Drosophila melanogaster: one gene and its partners. The protein of the gene in region 3 interacts with the protein of the main gene of each other region in a pairwise test. Each region holds a gene or a part of one and is shown on either strand. Other genes may lie near its edges.

What was found. Proteins that work in one complex are often made in the same cells at the same time.
Region 1: the proteins of CG15109 (region 3) and RhoBTB interact in a two-hybrid assay, tested with the Drosophila melanogaster proteins (one large-scale study listed by BioGRID).
Region 2: the proteins of CG15109 (region 3) and stw interact in a two-hybrid assay, tested with the Drosophila melanogaster proteins (one large-scale study listed by BioGRID).

Annotation. Positions count from the first base shown.
Region 1 is NT_037436.4:20,374,732-20,384,163, reverse strand, and holds RhoBTB (Rho-related BTB domain containing), read right to left. Parts: upstream 7,923-9,432; 5' UTR 7,563-7,922; intron 6,423-7,562; exon of another isoform or gene 6,325-6,422; intron 5,734-6,324; 5' UTR 5,705-5,733; coding exon 5,516-5,704; intron 5,453-5,515; coding exon 5,349-5,452; intron 5,283-5,348; coding exon 5,085-5,282; intron 4,853-5,084; coding exon 4,316-4,852; intron 4,254-4,315; coding exon 3,995-4,253; intron 3,930-3,994; coding exon 3,816-3,929; intron 3,752-3,815; coding exon 3,665-3,751; intron 3,595-3,664; coding exon 3,511-3,594; intron 3,450-3,510; coding exon 3,207-3,449; intron 3,143-3,206; coding exon 2,872-3,142; intron 2,618-2,871; coding exon 2,466-2,617; coding exon of another isoform or gene 2,443-2,465; intron 2,373-2,442; coding exon of another isoform or gene 2,282-2,372; 3' UTR 1,766-2,281; downstream 1-1,765. Other genes in the region: CG5498 (uncharacterized protein), read left to right, coding at 141-611, 664-883, 945-1,154, 1,224-1,669; Ide (insulin degrading metalloproteinase), read left to right, coding at 8,677-8,744, 8,803-8,937, 8,995-9,265, 9,321-9,432.
Region 2 is NT_033778.4:5,411,945-5,418,665, reverse strand, and holds the start of stw (straw), read right to left. Parts: upstream 4,923-6,721; 5' UTR 4,715-4,922; coding exon 4,585-4,714; intron 2,571-4,584; exon of another isoform or gene 2,274-2,570; coding exon of another isoform or gene 2,249-2,273; intron 1-2,248.
Region 3 is NT_033778.4:19,056,350-19,063,872, reverse strand, and holds CG15109 (uncharacterized protein), read right to left. Parts: upstream 4,453-7,523; 5' UTR 4,387-4,452; intron 4,278-4,386; 5' UTR 4,255-4,277; coding exon 4,230-4,254; exon of another isoform or gene 4,139-4,229; coding exon 2,994-4,138; 3' UTR 2,808-2,993; downstream 1-2,807.

The DNA of each region.
Region 1 (9,432 bases), on a different chromosome or scaffold from region 3:
CGGCCCCTTTTAAAATTTGTTTACAAGCTTTGTATACATTCAATCATTTTGCAACACCAGAAACTAGCTGATTCGACATAAACACACAATCACAAAAGACGCGCAATTTTTATGATCCGGATTAAATTCTTGTTTTAAATATGGGCCTTGGAAGCGGTGACAGGGTAAATGAAACCGACCACTTCAGCTTTCCCGCAAGCTGGCAGGACAACGGTAGAATGCAGGTGCAGTTCGCCATGTTTCGATCGAGGCATCTGGATGCGGAGGGCTACGACGCAAAAATGAATTTCTGGATGGATTTAATTGCAAAATATCTAAAGTTCAGCGGACGACCAATCTTCAGCCTGCGGGATCTGCAACTGCTGTTCATGAGGGGTGACCAACTGCCCGCCTGCCTGGACACCGTGATATCCGAGATGCAGCAGAGGAAGCAGATCCGCTCTCGCAGTGAATTTGAGTACGATCCGGCCAATTCCTGGGGTGGTTGGCTCGTCAACAGCCTGGTAAAGCGCCCCCTTTCATGGAGCTGGTCGAAAATCAAGCACAGCGTGGTGACGGAGGACCTGGAAGCCTCCGCTTTAATTGAATGGATTCACCTAGATGCCTTAAACGTATGTGATATCATCCAATGATTATAGGAATCCTACATAATTAACTTTCCAGAACACTTGCGATCTCATCGCCGAAAAAGTCCTGTCGGAAAACACTGGAAAACTACTGCACTTTAATGCTTTGAAAACGCTTTGTAAGACTCACGGAGTTCCCACTTACTCAGACAAAGATCTATGCGCTTGCCTGTTGGCCTTAAATGTTCGTCAAATCTTGGGCCTAGAATTTAAAGTAGAAAAAGGCATACGCCAAATTCACTTGATCAAAATACCAAGCAAGTTTAAAAGGTTCTCAAGTAGTTAGTATGTATTATTAAACTATAATTTTTGTTATAGAAAAACCTGGCGACGATCTTAATATAAGCCAAGAAGACCAGGCCGTCCACAATCTTCAGAATACCCAAGCTCAGTTACTCAAGCAGTTGGAGGACCTAGAGGAGGAGATCAAGGTGAACGATGACAAAGTGCGCCAGTACATGAAGGAGAACAAACGGCAAATGGCAAAAACCTATCTACGAAAAAGGCATCTCCTGGAAAAGAATCATGGTAATCTTTATTGTAGACACCCCTTATCTGGCTTTTGTGAATAATGTTCTTTGAAAATTCTCTAATTAGAACGTCGCAGTCTTGCCCTGCACAACATCGAATCTCTTCTGTCCAGTGTGGATGAGGCCCAGAACAGTGGCGTTGTTCTGGATGCCTACAAGATCGGATCAAATACCTTGAAGAAGGTTCTCTCGAATTCTGGATTGAAGTACGACAATGTCGACGAAGTATTGGCCGATGTGCGGGACACGCTCGACCAGCATCGGGAAGTTCAGGACATAATGTCCAATAGCGTTGTGGAGAACGCGAGCCAGGAAGATGATCAACTTGAGCAGGAATTGCGTGAACTGGCTGGAGAATCTGCGCCGGCTACGTTTAGTCCACATATTAATAACAACCTAAGGGCGGAGGTTGTGATTACGGACGAGGAGATGATTGCCATGCTGCAGGATCTTGAGGTGGAGGATGGTACTGTATCGCAATCCAGTGTAAAATCCGTGAAAACTGCGATATAAATGTTGTGTTTTTTTAAATGGCATGTGAACTGTTATAATTCTAAATTTATTACATTGTAAAATGCGTTTTTATTACAAGGAAGAAACGTGAGATTTGTTCGTAATTGCTTTTTTATTCTATCATTCTGTACAAAATGCGTCCTTATCGTAGAGAATTGCTTAGAGCTATGGCTAGACAAATGTTTCCGTAAGTAGGAATTCAAAAATATACATACATACATGTCTTAGGTAAAGGTACAAATATATGGATATACACATGTCTGCGTCCTTCGGCTGTCCACATTCCATGGGAGGGATCGTGCAGAACAAGTTGAGTGTACACCGATATATCGTAAGGCAATACAGCGAAATGCTTCGCAGCGCCGAGGTGCATGTGCATACATACTCGTCTATGCTTTGCGTTTTATATAGGCGTATAAATATAAGAAATCCGAAGCACTCTGCAGTATGCTCCCTTGTTCTGGGTCGAGCTACGTTGGACTTATTAATCGTTAATCACTAAGGCAAATTTGCGCTCTATATATTGCGTAATGTCAAAAGCAGACGCGCCACGCCCCCTCCATTTCCAACCCTTATCTCCCCGACCACTCTAAATCGTGCCCTTGAGGTTTGTTATGTATGGATTTGGAAAAGTATCAAAATACTTAAAATCGTACAGATAAAACAGATCAGGACCGGCAGGATCACAATGAAGCGCAGTGATCTGGAATCAAAGTATCGAAGTAAATCATAAATATCGAAGAATCCTTACTTTGACATTAATATCAACACACCTTCCTTGCCCTAGGGCTGGGTGTCAGAGATTCAGGTCCATGTCCGCCTCCAGATCAATGTGGTTGAGCGAGTTGCCGGCGCTGTTGAAGATCTGATTATCTGCGTTGCTGTTATCCGTGGTTCCACTCACATCAGCGCTTCGCTTCGATTTACCTAACAGCCAGCAAGAGAATACTTTGACCAAATTTCGGACATTAATATTATGATGATGGCGTTGTCGTTGTAAATGAGCAAGGAAATCAACAGGAAAGGAAAACAATAACGAGACACCTAGCTACGAATACAAACCGCCGTCATGATACATACATTGTCCTCTAAAGCTAGCTGAAACTAAAACCTGAGCTGATCCTCCGACTGGAGTATTGGACTGGGATGTTAAGTGTGGTGGGATGTGGAGCAGATAGTTCCGTAAATGTAGCAACACTTACCGCCCGTAAAGCACAGACAGCCCTCGTCATCGCTAGGCGATTCCCGCCTCGAAGTCTTTAGCTTAAGCTCCTTGTTCAGCTCGTTCAGGCATCGCTGATAGTAATCATAGTCTTTCAGATACCAGACTGGAGGCCATCGGTGCTCGCGCAAGTACTCCTGATTATCCTGGTGTAGCGCCTTTAGGCCCTTGAGTGAAAACTTACAAATAAGGTTGTAATTGACGCACAGGTATGACATGCACCACTCGGCCAATTGATGTGCGTTGTGCAGCTGAAAAAAAAAGAAAAGTATTGAATTTCGGTATATCATTTTTAACTGATCTCTCTATGTGTACCTTCACTGGCTCGAGCAGCTTTAGACAGTGATCCACCGTTTCATTGGTTTCGTTCTGAGAAATCAGAGTGAGATCTTCAATAACGCGGCATTCAACCAGGTTGAGCAGCCGCGGCAGGCAGAGTCTATTGGCCAGCTCCAGCAGATTGAGGCACTTGACGGCCGAGATTGGCGGAATCTGGTCTGTGTACAAATAGCACAGCAGCTTGTGGAATGTGTAAATGGTAACGCCAGGGAATACGATCTAAGGTAAAGGAAATTTATGACAACTGTCCTTAGTTAAGGGGTATTGTGCCCGTTCCTACCACATTGGAATGAGCCTCGCGAAAGTCGCCTAACAACATTGCGCGCATGACATCACAACGACCAACCAACACAGCGCGGTGTGCCTGCAATGCAGCAAAGGTAAGTGTAAACGATTGTGCTTCATATAGTAATTCAACAGACATATGTATGTACCTTCATTAAGCCATCGTCCAATTCAAAGGTGACATCACTGAAGCACCCGTCACCAATGCAATGCCGTTCCATGCTTTCTTTGATGCGCTAATGTATGTAACAGAAAATGGTTAGGATCATAAAATAGATATCATGACATCAATGCGCTCACCAGGCAAATGTGCGGATTTGGCTCATCGCTGGAGTTCTCCATAACGGTTTGAGGCCTGGAAAGTAGCTGAGTCAGTTGCGGCAGTTCTAATAGATCGGCAGCTTCTCGAATTTCCTGTGAGAATTAACAATATATTAGTAGGTCAAACTTAACACAGAATACATTGAAACATTTCCTACCTCGATATTATCGCAATCCTTGTCAATGGTACCGGTATAAATAAATCTCAGGCACTGGTGCAGAGCTTGCGGAGAGATAAGTTTGCTAAGGGTGACAATCGTCTGCAGACCATTTACACCCCGATGGTTTTCCACGTGCACCAGGCGAATGCTCTGCAGGACCGGATGATGCAGCTCCCTGTACAAATCGTTGGACCGCTTAGACTCCATGAGAGGCAACGCCTGGTAGCTGGAGCGGCGCTTCAAGTGTTCCCACATTCTGTGGGTGCAAAATGTATTCAAAGTCAAATGGGCTCAATGCAATCGGGAGGCAGCACCCACCGTTGTGTGCGTGATTCGTAGCGGATCAGGGCCTCCGTGTCATCGTTAAAGTCCGCAATGGTGGCCTCCCCGAATGTTGAGCTGACCATGCTAGATTCGCTGCTGCTCCGCCCGCCCATATCAGTCAGCTCAGTGCTAAGCAGGCGCTGGAAGATGCTGGACGCGGCGGCTAGCATGAACCTGTGCACGGCGAACTTGGTGCCACCCGCCCCGACCAGGACGAGGTCGGTGTAGGCCTGCGACAGGAACATGTTGTAGATGTCCTGCCGATAGTTGCCGACCATGACGGTGACCTCCGGTGGTGGTGGCTTCGGTGGCCGGAACGGCGCCTGCAGCAGGGGCTTCTGCACCTTCTTCAGGTTTGTCATCCAGAAGCGCTGCTGTCGGCGTGCAATCAACGCGGATCGGATGGCGTTTTCAAACACCTCGTTCACCCCAAAGTATGTGAAAACACTGGTCTCGTAGTACGCCACTCCTAGCTCTTTGGCGACGGCACGCGCCTCATCCGGCATAACCAGGTCACTCTTCAACGCGGCTCTTTAAAAAAAGATTATAGTAATGATTGCCTTTAATTTAATCCAATTAAATAGAATATCTCTGAACATATAAACAGATTAATTTGCTATAGTGGGCTAAACATTGAATTATATCTTTCGTGTGTTCTAAATATAATTAAATTATGGTGAATAATTGAATTGATTTGATTAAAGAACAACATTAAAAAGTGAAAGCCACTCAAAACCGGCTGAAACCTGCTAGCTATGCATACCGAACAAAGGTTCCCTTCTCGCCGAAATACGAGAGATAGTTCTCGTCGCGATACATGTAGCGCAGGTCGTTCTTGCAGCCAACTAGAATGACGGGAACATCCGGACAAAAGCGGCGAATTTCCGGATACCACATCATCTTGCAGTTGCGCAGGGAAATCGGACTGGCAATGGAAAAGCACAGCAGCACCACATCGGATCTGTAGGTCAAGAAGGCATCTTATTGATTCGTATGGCGAAAATGCTGCTACATGAGCTCTACACACCTGCCGTATGCGAAGCGCCGATCCTTGTCGTGGTCACCAAATGTGTCCCATAGGCGAAGTGAGACATTCACTCCATCGACCACCTCCCATGATCGCTCGAGTACCTTTAATGTATATGGATTCGGTTAAATGCAATAACTATGACTCTTGAGAGAATGGTAACCCACATCCTTATATATGCGATACTGGTCAATGGCCCACACGGTCGGCACGTGCGTAGAGAGGAGCTGAGATAGCGAGACGTGTTTGTTGCAGGCCCTCGCGCAGATCAGTCGCGTCTTGCCCACGGCCGTGTCCCCCACCAGGACGCACTTCACTAGCTCTTGATGCGGCTGCTCGTTGTCCATTTTGGGCATGCACAAATAGCAGAACCAGCTTATGGAATCTGAAATGAAAATAGTATTGGATTTTTGTGTGATTTAATAAAATGTGGTCTCTCCTGAGGAAAACATACATAAATGAAAATATTGAAAATAAAATAAACTGCTGACACCCCTTCTAATATAAATAAGTGAACTACGTAGAATAGCTGCCTTAATGTTTTTCAGTTCTGATAAGCAGATGCTAAATTCTCGACTAACAATCGACCTGCTAATTACTAAGTTACACAAAGTGTCGTCTGCATTAACGTTTTGTGTGAAGGCAAAATGGTTTCATCACGTGATTAATTTGATTTTAATCTAGATACCTAAGTGCTTCCCAAAATAGAAATACATAGTTTGAAATAATCTACGCACTGGGAAAATTCACTTCTACGTTCAGTTATACGTAAAGCCAGAATAACTGATCTACGCCAATAGGCAATTTTGTTTGTTTACTCGCTGCGCACTGTGAAAATAACTATAGTGAAATCAGATACCAGCTTCGTATCATTTACTTAGAAATCTATTGGATCCCGCAAACGGAGGCTATAAAACCAGCCAATTCATTGACCCCCACTTGATCCACTTGTCGCGGAGGAAGTTGGAGTAAGTACCTCGGATACGGAGCGATAAGCTCGCTCTCTCTCTTTGAACCTCTAATTGAACTTAATTGGGCTGCACTAAAAATATATCTGCCTTCAATCCTCCGGTCGCAATGAGCACACTTCTTCCTGCGTGGCCCACGCTTCATGGCAATCCATTGTCCGATCTTCTCGACGAGCTGCAGTCTGTCTATTTTGGGACGCGCTTTAAACCCAAAACAATAACCATGCAATTGAAAGTACTTCAAGTGGTCGCCAGAAGCGATCGTTGTTCTCCACAGGAAAGTCTTTTGTTCGTGCGAAGACTTTAAGTTACTGTCAATATTGTGGATCGTTGACCTCTGGAATACATGGCAATCGGTTCCACTTTTGCTTTGATTTTCTATAATTTATGTGTTCAATCTATTTAGAGCCATTTGAATTGACTTTATGAAGGTTAAAGAGGGAAGAATATTCTTCAAATATTGAAAAATTAATGTCTGATATAACTACTATAAAATACCGTTTTTATTTTTATTATTTCCTTGTAGAAATATTTTTAAAATATATTATTTAAGTGCCCAGTCTTAAGCAAAGTGAAGCAAAAACAAAGAAACAAAGAAAGAAGACGTTGTGAAGGTAAACAACTGTTAGTTTTTGAAGATATCAGGTATTTTGAAAATGGAAAGATCGTATTTTTTAGTTTTTAAAAGGTATGTTCTTAGTTTTCATTGTAAAATATTTGCACCAACCATAATCTTGGGAAATAAAAACAAAGTTTATTTAGGGACTGGTTCCAATTTATTTCTCATGCGAGGTGTGAACCTGTGGTTTAATTAGACATTTTGATTCGCGAGAATTCGCAGAACACGCCAGCATATTAGCATTATTAACAAACTCTGCGCTGTTTTGCCATGTCTGGGAAGTCTCCTTTCTTCAATTTTGCCAGCTTATTGATTTTCTCGTGCCATTGCAAAACGGCCACAAATACCGTTACCAAACCACACACACATTCAGACTCGCACACAAGGAGGCACAGAAGGGACTTTTAGGAGGGGATCTTGAAGTTCGGACTCGACATTCCGGCAAACTTGACCCATTTAGGGGAGAAAAATCGTTGAACACTTGCACTTTTTCTCGAGGAAAACGCATGTTGGTGGGTAAACAATTAAAACCTGATTAGAACCTAATTCTTCGACTGCTGGCCGAAGGGGAGAGCACAGAATTCCCGAACTCATAAATCTCCGCGGACGTAGCACTGCAGCACTCACCTCTGAAAACGCCTGATCCCACGGATTGCACGAATTGCACGGATTTGCCTCAATGTTCTTACTTTTGCGTATTGCACTTATCAACACGCACACCAAAGCACGGCATTTTACAACAATTTGCATTTATTTCTGCACCCACACACCGATGGCGACGCAGTTTGTGGTTCGCAAACACGCGAAATCTTTACGGCTGGCACAAGTTTAACATCGCTGCGAGCTGGTTGCCGACGGATGGCTGCGGATGAGCCAGTGCTCGCTGACCAGGTGCACTATAAATGAAATTAAAAAATAATAAATTGCAGTTACAGCCCGCAATTCTTCTACGCGCTTTGACGGCAACCGGCCAGTGTTGGAAAACGGCGGCGGTTGGGCGCGGAGCACTGCCAGATTGACGGAGAACGGGAATTCACGGAATATTTATTTTTATAATGACTGTTATCAGGGTTGCCCAATATTTATTGTATGGTCGTTGGAAAAATTTCAAGCATTTGAAATACATTTTGAAATCGCCATCTATCCTAGGTAAGGTGAATATGCAGCTTACTTTAGTCCAAAGTTACATTAGAACTATTAAAAATCATCACTTTAAACTTATTAAGTCTTTCGTATTTGAAAATATGGCCTACCACTTTGTAAAATTTCTCCAATTGGGAATTTCAAATCTGGAACCACTCACAAAATAAACGATCTGGCAACATATTAAACTAGTTCTGCGTGCGCGGTGAGTTGGCAGCTCTGCGAACAGATGATTGTTTGCTATTTTAGTTGTTGCGAAACTAGTTAGAATTTATTTTTCGGTCCAAAAAGCGATTAAAATTGATTGAACGTGTAACCGACCGGCTTGGAAATCTACTCCTCCCACTCTAAGATTTCTTGTGCGCGCTACGTAAAGCCGGAGTAGCGTCGTCAAGAGTATTTCACAAACTCAATGTATCTTACGTGCAGAAAATCGATTTTTGCCTTAACAGCGGTTTTTGGTCGACGGTTGGCAGCAATTAAACAAATTTCCGCTAACGGGCACCACTAAATCGCATTTATTTCGCACAGGTCAAGTGCGTTGAGGGCCAGCATTTCAGTAACACATCGAACGATTGGCACGCTTATAAAACCCAAGATGACAATAGCCGAAAGCTCGCAAAAGTCCGCAACTAGGAAGCCAGACAGCATGGAGCCCATATTGAGGTAAGTGCACGTTACGCATCTTAGAGGTCGTCGAAAGGCAATGGTTCGTCGTTTATAGGCTGAACAACATTGAAAAGTCGCTGCAGGACACACGCGACTACCGCGGATTGCAACTAGAAAATGGACTAAAGGTCCTGCTCATCAGCGATCCCAACACAGATGTCTCGGCGGCAGCGCTGTCCGTGCAAGTGGGGTAAATAAGATCAAATCTTCACTCAATGTTTGTTTTTAATGAGTATACCCATGGCAGCCACATGTCTGATCCCACGAACCTGCCTGGATTGGCCCACTTTTGCGAGCACATGCTGTTCCTCGGCACCGAGAAGTATCCGCATGAGAATGGCTACACCACATACCTTTCGCAGAGCGGCGGAAGCAGCAACGCCGCCACCTATCCCCTGATGACCAAGTACCACTTTCACGTGGCGCCGGACAAGTTAGATGGAGCCTTAGATCGCTTCGCGCAGTTCTTCATAGCCCCCTTGTTCACGCCCAGTGCAACTGAGCGGGAAATCAATGCGGTATGTGAAAGCATTCATTAAAATTTCTGACAGAAATAGGACGCTGTCATTGCAGGTAAACTCTGAGCACGAGAAAAACCTGCCCAGCGATCTGTGGCGCATCAAGCAGGTGAACCGCCACCTGGCAAAGCCTGACCATGCCTACAGCAAGTTCGGCAGCGGCAACA
Region 2 (6,721 bases), about 14 Mb from region 3:
GAGTGCGTTCAACACATACGTTTTGATGGTCAACTAGTTCAACCAACATCAGCATCATCGTCGTCAACAAGTCGACGGTTACAATAAAGATTTTTTCCAAGTTCGCTACGATCATCTCCAGAACCTTGTTGCGAACCCATGACATGGAGAATCAGCAGCATTTACGAACTTCTCGGATCATCCAGACACGCAGAGCTGCCTTCCCTTCGATGGTTTAACGCAGTACCAGGTTGGCAGTATGGGAACTTAGTGCACAACCAATGTTACCCGTAAGATCCGCTTTCAAATAGATTTGCCAATTGTAAAAAGTCTGTGGACAGCCTTCGTCTTAGAAGGGGAGGAGTTAACACAATCACAAAACACCCGAAATATAGTCGTAAGCCTCAAGTGCTTTTCCCATCTATAGATCGAGCTTTACCTATAAGAAACTGTAACTTGTTAAGCTTTAGAGATAAGAACTCTTGCTATACTTAAGTCAGTCGATTTTGGAAGATTAGAAGCGTCGGTCATCGCCACGTACTTACTATTCGTCTCATTAAGTGCAGACCGCGCAAGCCCTATTGTAATTAATAAACTTACGCTAATAAATATATGGAAAATCTACTAAAATGATAATTTGTACATACATTTGTATGTATGTATGCACTTTTTAATCAATCGTTTTCAATACTCTCCTGTTTATCTCTTAACTTTTTCTGATCTTGGAATCCCATTAAAGTGAAGAGTTTGAAATAAACATATGTACATGTTCCAAACGCAAGATTAACTTTTCTAGCTTAGCTTTTTGTTTGATTATTCTCGCTTAAAAAGACCACAAGCAACAAAATTATTAGCTTTTTGTCTGTTGTCGTCGACTAGTTTTTCTGTTCCATTTCGTTGGGCTCCAAAGACAGCTTCATACATAGTATAAACATTTCACACAGTTAAATATTTTTGCACACATACATATATGAATTACAGACACAGTTTTAAAGTAAACCAGAAAACTGGCTCCTCAACTTAGTCTTGTTTTGTGAGTTATTTTGTGTTGTATTTGGTCCGCAATTTCTAGCCGTAATAGACTTAAAAATCAATGGGAAATCTACATACAACTATACATGCAACCATATTTAAAATAAATTTATAAATATATTTTGATAATTTTATGGTAATAAAATTACGCACATTGTTTGTAAATTTGCTTAAATATTATCTTAAGATTGATGATAAATTTGTTAATTAACTGAACTGAAAATACTTTAGAAAGACATATTTTCTGATTTTCGAAATATTTACGATATAAACAAGATATAGAGTTTGTGTAATTCACAATTTACAAAACGGTCCTAGCACCCAATATTGTTAATATAGCCTATCTATAATATGGTAATTTTTAAATAATTCACATATTACTCTATTTATTTATATTTCTCGAAAGGGGTGATATCAAAGACATCAGAATAATTATTCTAGTGTCTTTGGTGATATGGTCGTTTTTAAAAATGGATATGGATGGATATATGGAACGGTTTAGAGAAGGTAAAAGGGTATACTGCGGAAATAGAACTTGCATTTCTAAAAACTCTTTAATAGGGTTCATAAAAATGTGTCACTCTACATTGTGAGATCCATTTGAAATTATTTATACAATTTATTTTGTACGCTAGTGTAATCAATTACGTTATTTCGAAACATTTGCACTAACGGACATACATATTTATATAGTATACATACGTACATTCATATGTTTGTAGGTATGTATATATTGGGACTGTATAAATGCAATCGGAAACCAGTCCCACATTCCGTACGTGTCACATATGTATGTTACTCTGTTAGTTTGTATTCATGGAAATAGAGAGATGACTAGCATGGGTTTACCTAACAACTTTATCATATTTTCAGCAACGATAACATTACAAAAAAAATGTGTTGATTAAAAAAAGCATTTCTGTTTTGCAAGTTAAAGTTTAGTAATGTAATACCATTGTATTGTCTTTAACATTGAATAAATATGTTTGGGTGCCCGTACATACATACACAAATTTTCAGTTTGAAGTCACCTTGAATCAGTTATAATTTAAGGCTGCACCATTTAATACCCCTTGCAGACCGGTTTTAAGCTTAATAAATTTGTATTTTGATGTTGCATTCATTTCAAATAAAACATTTGTATTTATTGGTTAAGGACCACTTAGAAAAATGTTAATTAAGGAAGATACCAAATTATACTATAATTTATGTATATTCAAATCATATCTGCACATACTTGAATGATCAAAAAACGAGTACATCAACTATCAAATACCCGTTTATCCGTTAGAAAATTTCGAAATAATAACGTATGCATGTATTCCTAAAATATCACAACCAGCTTCTAGATATGTCGCGTATGTCAACAAGTCCTTTGGTCAGCTATGAGAGAGAGCGAGGCGCAAATGGATGGCGGACATTGTTCTTCAAAGTAACTTAAGAAACTTAAAGGCGCGACCACCAGCTAGGTTAATTTTTGTCGACCATACCACAAATAATTAAGAGTATTAGTAAGTGTAACGTAGGCAAATAAAGATATAAATGACAGAAAAATAATTTATAAAAAGTAAAAACCGCATTAAATATAATATATTTATATAAACATAAACTGCAAACAATGAGTTTTAATGACGTAGTCTAAGGCTAGACTTTCCCTTTCACCCTTTTCAACAAATCACAAGCCTAACTCCAAGTGTAATGCACAAAATCATTGTGATCACCTCATTTCAATCATATACAATACAATACATATACAATAAATTGAACTGGCTTTTCATTTTAGGAAGTTATGTACATGTATTTTTGAAAAAGGGTCAAAAATTCGATCACCTTCCTGAGTTTCATTTTTGACATATTATTGCTAAAATTGGATTTCAACACTTAAAACGTGTGTTTGATTAATGACATAAATCGCTAACACAGCTTCTAAAAGATGTGTAGATTAAAATTCAAAACAAAATTTCGATTGAAAGCGAAAAAACTTTTTTCAAGTGCGTTTCGGATATCTCTTTTTTTATCTGGTGTGTATTCTAAATCGAAAAGCAATGAAGCATAGATTATTTTTGTGAATTAATAAAAATTACAATCGGTTACAAAAAACTATGGAATAGTTTTTAAGAGATCATACCAAAAAATGATGGAAATGACGACCTCCGAATTGAAAACAGGAGTCAACTTTCATGACAAACGTACATAAATCTGCGAATATTATTATCCGAACATACATACATATCTGCTGATATTATTTTCCATGAAAATTGCAAAAAAAAAATTTTTAAGACTCACTCAAAATAGTTATACACTATTCTTAAAGTCTAAAAATTCTTACTTTTCTTTCTCAGCTAAAAAATTTACAAATAACTTTTACTAAATGGTCTGACAAAAGAAATCACTAGTATTTATCTAATATATCTTTATTTATGTTGGTTGTTAAATTCTTTTAGTTACATGCATATGTACATATGTAGTAAGTTAGAAACTATTAGCAAAGATCTTAATATGTTTTTTTAATGCTTTCCAATTTAAGACCGAAGTAAATAAATCCTGTTGTTTTACTTTAATCTTACAGAGTTTTCTTATTATCGGGGTTTCAACGATTTAAAAGTTTGAAGCTTGTTGAAGTGTTCGCACTTTCGTAATTTGTAGGGAGTAGCATGCTAACATCTGACAAGGTCAGCGATTCAGCAATTAAAAAGTTGAAGAAATACCATTATCAGTAAAATTAAAAAAGTATAACATTATTGCGCAAAGTAAGTGGTAGGCTAAACCAGTGTAAGCTTATGAAGGCTAAATATTTTGATTTCTTTATAAATTTGTTAACTTTAATATATATTGATGAAAAAGGCAATTTAAATAAAAAAAGTTTTAATAAATAACAAAAATAATGTCAGATACAAGCAAAATTTTGTGGTATAAGAAATATAGAAAAGAGCGATTAATATTGTAGTTTGTTTGTTTCGAAAATTTTACCTAAAGTGTAGGCAATTTTCCATTCCAGCCCGTCGTATGGGAAAATTTTAGAAAGTACGTTTATCTATCTACATTGGGTCCAATATGGCCAGTTCCCTAAATCTGTAGACTTGCACTGCTCTTTCTCCTAAACCATTCAATTTTTCTTTAGTTTGAATATTTATTCCCTTTCACTTTATTTGCACATACATATGTATTTAATTGTGTATAATTTTACTATTCTACTTCGTATGGGTTGAATAGGTAAAGACGGTATTTAAGTTTTAAAATGTTTTGATCCATATAATATATGGTTGGCCAAATAATCAACCTATAATTCTAATATATATATTCTTATGAAAACGATAACGGAAAGCAAGTGTGGCAAAACAACGTTTTGTCCTGCAAAACATTCCAATTAATTTACAGTAAAGATACCCAAAAGATCCCCCAAATCTTTGGAACACCCCTTGGAAATATAGTCATGTTTAGATGTATACGAGTATATACGTATTGCACTTAAATAATCATTTTAATGAAAGGAATATGTACTGTCGACAAATCACAAAATGATATTTCAAGACTTCTTAGGTGAAAAAAATTACCAAGATGGGATTTCCTTACCTTTCTTAGGTTGATTTTGCTGTGAGTTGGCAACACGTACTGCAAATACTTCAGGAAAATTGGAAAATGCACCCCATATCAGGAACGAAATAAAAGTTTGGTAAAATCCGTTAAGATCCATGGCTTTCATAGTTGTATGAATGGCGTATAATTTTATTTTTCACTATTCTTCTTGTATTTTTATTAATTCCTTTAAGCTATTTAACAATACTTTGGGTGGATGTTCACAACATAAGACTATATATTTTTAAAGTATGTGTACTAAGCAATAGCAACACCACCTGAATTGATTACGGCTTAATGAAGTACGAGCAACGCGTTTAAGCACCAAACTGAAGCGGTAGCTACATACGTACGACTATATAAAATGTTTAAGTAGAAAAGTTACTGCAAAACGAGCTTACGAATGAGCCAGGGAAAGGAATGGCTCAGTGAATCATGACATGGCTCAGAGAGCGCAAGAAATTGCAGCAGCCAACTTGATCACGATCTCAGAGCAAGTTGGTCGAGTCTAGAGCTGCCGCAACCTCACAAAAGCTTTACCAAAGCATAGAAAAAGAAAATGAAACGAAATATAACGGATCTTTATTGTATTGTTGTTGCCTAAATCATATGAAGGGAATGTTTTAAAGTTCAGACAAATAGATCTCAAATAAATGAATACTAAAGTGCTGTGCTGAGATTTTTGCATGTAGCTTTTACTTTTACTTATTAAAGGTTTACATATGTATAGGGCACCTTCAAAAAGTCAGCACATATATGCAAATTCTTAAACACGTTATAATATACTTGTTTAAAGTATTACTACTATTATAAACAAATGACATGTGTACAAAAATCAATTGAAAAGAATTGACGAAACTAAGAGGTATGCAACACATGACTACAAACATAAAATGCTAAATAAAATAGCGCACCGAAAGTGTAAATATAAATACATACGTAGAATATTAAAGCTAGTTAGTCGTTGGAGATGAATGCATGTTTCATTTTTTTTTATAAAAAGAATAAGAACAATTTATGATCAAATACAACAAAATTATAATTTTCTCTGTAATATTTTTAAATAATTGATACAGTGGATGCTTATCAAATAAGAACCAAAAACATATGTTATCAAAAAGTGTTTTAAAGTGAATAACGGCACTTTAAAATTATAAACAAGAAATGGAACATATTTTGTTATGTTTTGTTTTGATTATTCCAATGGTTATATCGTTTTCGTTCCGACTTCCAAAGTATATAATTAATAGGTAAGAATGTATATGTATAAAATAGAAGAGGAAGCACATAGATTTATAATTATACATAATATACGATACTAAATATATGAATATGTATGCATATGTACATACAGCTGCGGTTAAAATAATAGCACTACTGCAGATGGAAAGTTGATTTGCTAAAAAAAAATTATAAAATGTTTATTTTTTTTTAAGTCAGATTTCATGAATAATAAGTTCCATATGTTGGCTCTCTGAGCAAGAAATTTTTACTCTCTCAATGTAACGGTTCTTTTTGTTTTTGGGCACTTGCTGCAAAAGCGCGCGAAATGAGACGGTAACAAAAATAGCACTGACCACGTATTTGTTGAATAAAATTAATAGGAGTGATTTGGGATTTTTTTCGACAAATTTTGAAAAAAGGAGTTGTATTAAAGGTTTTAATTGAATTTGTTCCAAACGAAGACCAAAAATTCTCTAGTTATGGGTCGCGAAAAGCATTGTACCGTCGAAAAAAGAAATTTGATTAAAAACATGATCTCTGAATGTAAAACCTACGCTGAAATTGGTCGAATTGTCGGGTGTTCAAACAAAATGATCCACAATGCTGTTTGTCGAAAAGGACGAAACACGTGGAAGAAAGCCCTCAATGTCCAACGTGGAGATCAAGCGCTTGGTTCGGCAAAGCAAGAAGGAGCCTTTTAAGCCGGCGACGGAACTGAAGAAGGAGCTTCAGATAGCTGCAAGCGTGGAAACAGTTCGCAAACGCTTAAGACAAAACAACCTTAATGCGTGCAGTCCCAGAAAAGTCCCGCTTTTGACTGTTAAGCATGTGGCAAAGCGACTCGAATATGCCAAGATACACAAGGACTGGCCTGTGGAGAAGTGGCGCAACATTTTGTGGTCAGATGAGA
Region 3 (7,523 bases):
TACGGTGCACCTCACCAGCCTCAACCACCTCATTCCCTTTTAGCCATAACTTTAGACAACGCCTCGTCGACTCGCTGTTGTTGACAATTTAAATAGAGTTTTCTTGCATTTAAGCCGCTTTGATGTATGCTCTCACTTGTACGCGCCGTTGTTTATTTGTTTATTGATTTTCACAGCGTTTTCATTGCGAAACGTCTGCATTCTGCATCGCTCGGCATTTTATCGACAATCCTTCGTCAAGCGAAATAATCAACATTTTTTCACCCATTTTTCCTGCCAGTTGGCTTTGTATCCTTTCGTCCATGTGTTTTTTTTTTGCGGTGTGCGTGCGGTTGGTATGCAATTGAAGGTGACACTGAAATTTGCATAATTCTGTTGTCACATGTCGCATACGCCATGTATGATAGCCGCAAAAGGCAATAGGGCGAAAATAAAATAACCGCCTTTTTGAGCCGCACTGCAAAGTTCAACGTTTGACTTTAACGTAAAGCCAAGTGGTTAATAAGTTGATTAATTTATTTTTAATGAATTGAGTGAGGTAATGTATATTAACAATGTGTACACAATTGCAGGGTGTTTGAAAAATAACACTACCTACAACACACATATTTACGTTAATAATAGGTTCTTCAGAAATATATAAAACAACAAAAACTACTGCGTAACTAAGCAACACTAACCATATTTAAAAGATGTTAAAATTGATTTAAAAAATCAATTTACACAAACAACAATCTGTACACCAATTTAACATACTTAATTTCAATAAAAACAATTTTAAATGTATTTCACTTGCATTCAAATTTAAGTATTACCAAACTGATTTTACCTAACAGCAATTGCTGTATTTATTAGCATACAAATTATGGTTATCGAATTACCATTAAACCACTTTAAAAACGCCAAACCAGTTAAGTAAAACACTTTTCGTTTAAAATTGATAATGCCAGAGTGAGCTTAAAAGCAGCAAAACTGATTTTGCAATTTATATTCAGCAATTTATTTGCTGGTTATTTGCGAAAAGTTTTCCCTTAGTTGTCCAAAAAATGTTTATATATATTACTGAGCAGATTCCTGATACTTGGGCCATGACTTTAACGGCATTTTAAAGGCACCATTGCCATTCATTTGATATTTGCTGACTCAACAGTTCAATTGAATTTTATGTTGTTGCCTGTCGCCTTTTGACTATGAAATCTAGATTACAACTTTTGGCAACAACTTGTGGCTAACGTAATTACAAGCTTCCAAATGACAACCATAACATTAACAACAAAGGCACCGAAAGACCGACAGCCAGACAGAGCGAGTGACTGACAGAAGAGTCCTGGCAATGTCCTGGCAACGCTCGTCTTTGTCATCCTCATAATGAAGCCATAAATTTCAAAAGCAAAGAGATTAGCGAAAGTGGTCGCCGCCTGCCTTTCTCGAAATTTATATTTATATTTATATTTATATTTGTATTGTACGCAACTTAAAGCTATTTACGCAGATGTCAACTTAAAGCGAAAATGGCATTGGTGACGAAAGTGTGGCAAAAGTTAATGCACTTGCAGTGCTGACAGGACCTTGGAGTTGAGTGGAATGCGGAATGGCTGATGCAAGCATTTATTATTTACACTTGTAAATAAATATATATGTGTGCGAGGGTCTATGTTGGAGGGGGCCTGGTCACTTAGCAGCGGGAATTGCACATACATTCGCATTTACACTCCAGTTAACACCCCAGGGACATTGGCAGTGCCACCACAGAGAGAGAAATAATGTTTGCCTTACTTTTATATCTATAACAAATATAAGATATTTTTTGAGTGTACTAGAAATTATTATATAAATGTTAAATTCCTAGAAATAAGCAAGTACGTCCTTTAATTATTATATTTTTATGTCTGTTAACGTATGAAACACTATAAATATTTAATTAAATAATTAAATCTTTATACCACTCTCCAAATATAATTATTGTGCAATCTTATTCCATTCTTTCTATTTTTCCAAATGTATCTTGAAGTCGAAGGAGCTACGCAATTTTACGAATGCTGCGTTGCACTTTTCCGCTTGGCACATGTAGATGTACTGCTGGCATCTAGTGCAGTTTATATAGATTATATACGTGGATTTGTGAAGCAAATTTGTATTTATGCTGATGGCCAGGCACCCATGACACTCGCTATTTCAATGGCTTGCCTTTCCCTGGTGTTCCCAGTCCTGAAGCCTGAATTCTGATTCTCGATTCCTGACTCCCGGCACATTATGTGCCCCATTTAATGTCTATGTATGTGCAGCCAGTACACTTGCACATACTATGGCACACACTTACACGCCCAGTGAACGTCAAGTGGCAATTTACATTAGTTTTATTGTATACGAAATTAGCAGCATTTAGCAGTGGCAGCCGGCAAAACTTTTGCCTTTCGGCTCCGTTCGCTATGTCCCACCCCTACACCCATACACACACACACATGTATTGCTATAAATGGAGGATATATTCTCATCCGCAGTCAAGGGTTTGTATGTTAGATTTGTTTGCTCGTTTGGCTGCACTGTCGCACTCGGCATATCAATTTTCCCGCTCATCCACCTCTCCCCTCAGGACATTTCAAGGTAGGAAATCGATTTTGTTAATGAAAACGAAGGAGAACTTCAAGGAGAAGGCCACCCAGGGGATCGGGTGTCGATTGGAGCGTAAGTTTGATATTTGTTACGGGCGGAACAATGGCCATTCTGCTCGATGATGGCATTCCCGAAGGATTATATTGCAACTTTCGAGCTTGATTTTTTATATTCTTCCGCTGAACATAGTTATTATGATGTGTATTTAGTTTTTATTGTCTGTTTTTTGTATACAAAGTAAAAATGGTCTCGCCACTCCTTACATATGCAAGAAATATAAACATCTTCCAGTTGAAGCAACAAAAAATAAAAAAAAGAATGCGGAAAAACAAGTAACCTAAAATTTTTAAGAAACATTGTGACAGCTGCCCGTTTCAGGTTCACACTAGATGGCACTCGTTCACCAAAACGACATCATCTTCGACCACGTCGCCATTACGATTGGCATGGTGCTCATGGTGAATGGGACAGCTGACGATGAGCTCCTCCTTGGGTTCCATCTTCTGTGCCTCCTTCTTGGCCTTCTTCGTTAGTGCCTTATCCTTGATGCCCTTCTTTTTTTCCATCTCCAGCTCCAATTCTAGGTGATCGCCCAGCAGGTGATCGATGACATCGGGATTGTTGCGCAAAGCCAGATCCATGGCGCCATCAAGGAATTGATAGAGGGGTGAACTAACGTGACGCTGTGGCTCCTTTGGTGGTTCCAGCAAGAGATTTCCCTCGAAATTGGGCTGCAACAGCTGTTGCAGCATGTAGAGCATCGGTGGCACAGCCGGCGAGGATTTATGCTTGCGATGGTGCTTCAGTGGTGCTGCATTATGAAGTCCGCGTGGAGTGTTCTCGGCTGCATTCAGCAGTAGCACTCCGGCCAATTCCGGTGGCAGAACTTCCGGACCGTAGTTCAGCTCCTGCTGCACACTCTCAATCATCATGTTGGGCGCCAGCAGCTCGAACTCCTTTATCTCGTGCTTGCCATCTGGCGAAACCAGCTTGTTGTAGTACACGTAGGGATTGGAATTGGGATTGGGATTGGGATTAAGATTGGGATTAGGGTTGGGTGGCAATGAGGTGGCCATAGCAGCAGCTTCCACCGCTGGGCGACGCTTGTGGTGCAATTGTCGTGGCTGCAGACTGTCGTCCATCAGGCTACCCAAACGCCTCTTGGGACGGCGCAGTCCCAGCAGATCCTCCACTAGCTGAAATTTTCCGGCATCCGGAGGCGAGGATGTGGATGCCACAGCAGCAAGTGATGATGATAATGCGGTGGTGGTTGTGGAGCTAGTGGTTTTTCCACGAACTCCCATACTGCGCACCGGTCCAGCAGTAATCTTCTGCTCCGGAGATGTGGCGGCTTCAGTCATGTTAGCGGTGGTAATGGTACTATTGGCCAACACGGTGGCTTTTCCGCTCAGTGAAGCAGTATTGTCCATTGTAGTGGTTTCATTATAATCACTTGCAGTATCGCCTTGAGAACGCTTCATGCGCAGACAATCGCCGTACATCGGCCGCATCAACATGAGGACACCTTAAGCAAAACAATGGATGCGTTTGAAATACACGCAATTAATTATAAATAATTGCATGCTAGATGGTACTGAAAACTAACGTATACTTACACCCAAGGATCAGCAAGTAGTTCATCTTGTATTGCATGATAGGCAGCGCTGTGGAAGACAGTTGAGTTGAAAAAGTGAAAAGTGACCACAAATATTCTCAGAGTTGAATATTTATTGTAGATTTTTTTCCACCAGAATAGTTACAATTTGAACTTACTTTATTTGATTGGAGTGGGTTCTAGGTGTGCTCGGCACAAAGTTTGTACTGAAAATAATTCGAAATGCTTCCTGCCTCATGGCGAGGCTTTGACAGACAGCTGGGGACCTGGTAAAAGGTTACTGAGAGTACGAAAAAAAAAATCGAATTTCAATATTTTTCTGATGGGGATTTTCCACACACACTCACTTCCATTTGTGGCGACCTTTTCAAGTGCTGCAAATGGCAGCAATGGTACAAAAACAAAAAAAAAAGTAACAAAACACAACCGCGCACACCAAAAAAGTTTGTTTCGTGGGCCGCAAACAAAAGCAAACAGTGGAAAAAGTTTAGCTTATAAATTTCCAATCAATTTTTCGTGCAAAAATCAAGCGACCTCACACTCACACACAGGCACAAGCTCAAGTGTTCATACACGTAGTGTGTGCCTGCGTGTGAGTAGCTATTACTTGATTAATAAATATTAGCAGCAAAAATTGGAAAATTCTCAGCGAAGCGTAAAAGTGCAAACACCCAAACGGAAATGCGATACATTTGCGAAATGGCAGGAGCATTTTCCAAAACATCGATGCTTCTCTACGCACACAAGCACGCACACAGCACTACTCACCTACTCCATGTAACTTTTGATATAAAAGGTATATAAGAATTATCGAAGATATGAAATATAGGTTATGAATCTGCATGGATTGACTTATTGACTTAAACTATAATTTCCCATTTGTTCAAAATGTAACAACTATATCTTCTTTTGTGTTATATATCAAATGAATTTTGGTTACTTTCAAAAGGGTATTTCTTTCTCGATTCCCGTTTTTTTAGCCTAAAACTTGAACTTGTTTCTGCCGCCTTCGTCTTTAGGCATTAATAATGTAAAGTGCGTGCGTCAAATGTGAATTCCTTGCTGCCAACGCACGCGATTTCATAAACTGGCGACATTTTCAACAAACAATTCTCATCGCCGTCTTCGATGTGCTTGTGTGTGTGTGTGTGTGTGCGCCCTTCGAGGCGACTTGGCGCTCAGGTGGATTTTGGGGTGCAGGAGGCGGTAAACCAAGGGACCCCGAGGAGCAGGCACTTTTCCTTATCAGCTTAAATGTAAATGCCAAACGAGTGCACTGAAGGCGGGGAGGGGGGTCGAAAGGGGGCGTGGCTGAGCAGCAGCTGTTGCTGCATTGGGGATTTGCACATTTATACTCGCATATTGTAGCCCCACTCCTCGAAAACCCCGTTTTTCCGGTCCATCCTGCTGTCTCGTTTTCATCTTCTCGTTTTTTATCTGCCAAAGTTGATTTTTCGAGTGTATTGAATAAAAGTCGATTTTCCCCTTCTGGATTTGTGCGCGTTCGACAAGCGGCTTAAATGCGTACAGTTAATACATATCCTTTTTGCATATGTCTGCGTGTCTGGGGCTTATAAGCCAGTGTGTAAGTGGGTGTGCGTGCTCTTGCTTTGATGTGTGAGTCCGTTAAGGTCGTGGCTTATTAGGGGTCCGAAACCTTTGCCGCAGTGCATCAACGCGGCGGGATTTGCACGCAGACACTGCAAAAAGGCTCCCAAGACGATCCACTATAATTGGTAGCGAAAATCACGCATCCGCCGTGTGGGTCAAGTGGTGCTAGGGGAACTGGTCTAGCAATTGCTTTGATCTCGGGCGGAAAATCGGTGAGTGCGACTTTTATTAAATGTTTCCCTTTCGATTTGTTTCGGCGGAAAAGACTCCGGCTTTGTAAACTTTCATTAGTTGCCTCGTTAATATTCCAATTGTTGACACACAAAGGCGAAAGGTGGTGGAGGGGATGGCTGGCTTAACCTGTGTATAAAGGAATTTAATTAATAACGTCCTTCGTCCTTTTGCGTGTGCAGCGCGGCGTAAACTTAATTAAATGCGCAAGTGGCAAGTAGCAAGTAGCTGGGGCCACAGTGGCAAATGACAAGTGGAGATGCAGGACCAGCAGACGCAACTGGAGAAGCTCAGGTGCAAAGGTTGAAGGTAACACCTGGCCCGGCTAGAAGTAAGAAAAAAAAACGTTAAGGAAACCCTCCTGCCCCACATGTCAAAAGTTTTATTGGCGCAAACGCTACTTTTATGGCTACTGTTAATAGTGAAAAATGGTGCAACAAAAGCCAGAATGATGGCAGATGCTTAGACAAAACCAGATGGAAATGGCAAACGGGGGGAGCGGCAAGTTCATCGAGTTGGTCATAAAACAACGAGTTGTGGCTCAGTGACTTTAACGCGCTTCCATCTTTACGAGTTTGGTGCGCCGGGTTTATAACCTGTAACTGGGGGCAAAGTTTATTAAGTTTATGCCAAGTGCATCAAATATGCAAAACCGCTATAGTTGATCATCTTGGATGCTCGATGGATTTGACTTCGAGTCTGACGGAGATGTCTTTTAGCATAATCGCTGGTTATTGCTATAAAACCGGTTGGCAATCATTCTATGCTGATTTTATGATAATCACAATTTCAGCTGTGATCTATTAAAGGTGCTTTCTTCTGTGAGTTAAGTTGGATATATTTTTCTAATGGGAAAAAATCGTTAAAGTAAATAGTCTTCTTGTTTTTGCATTTAATAATGCCATATAATTCTGTTTACATAGGTTTTAAAATATATCATGCCTTTTCCTTCTTAGCTTTATGAAAGTGTGACATATTTTTCTGCGTGTCAAAGAGTTTGAAAAGTGATTTGCAGCCAAACTATAAAATGCACTGGCATTTCGGACTGTTTTTAGTGCAGAAGCTTGACTGACGACCGTAAGAAGTTACGCCCATTCCACGCATTCTAAATCAATTTCAGTCGAACGCCTTTCGCCTGGCATTGATTTATGGCCCAAATCCAAACGTCGTCTAAGTGGAAAAGCCGAACCGAAAAGAGGCGCAACTTTACCGAATTATATTTCAATTTTGGCAGCGAAAATGAAACAGAAACAGAGCCATACCGAGTCCACAAAAGTGGGGCGTGGCTGGGGAAAAGATGTTAAGAACTTTTTGACAATTGACTTAAAAAGTTTCCTCAAGCTGGCAGAAATTGACTGCCTTTTGTATACAAATAGGCCGAAATCACCAAGCCCACACACACACACACACACACACATATGGACAGGGCAAACGGAAAAGCTGGAGAAAATGG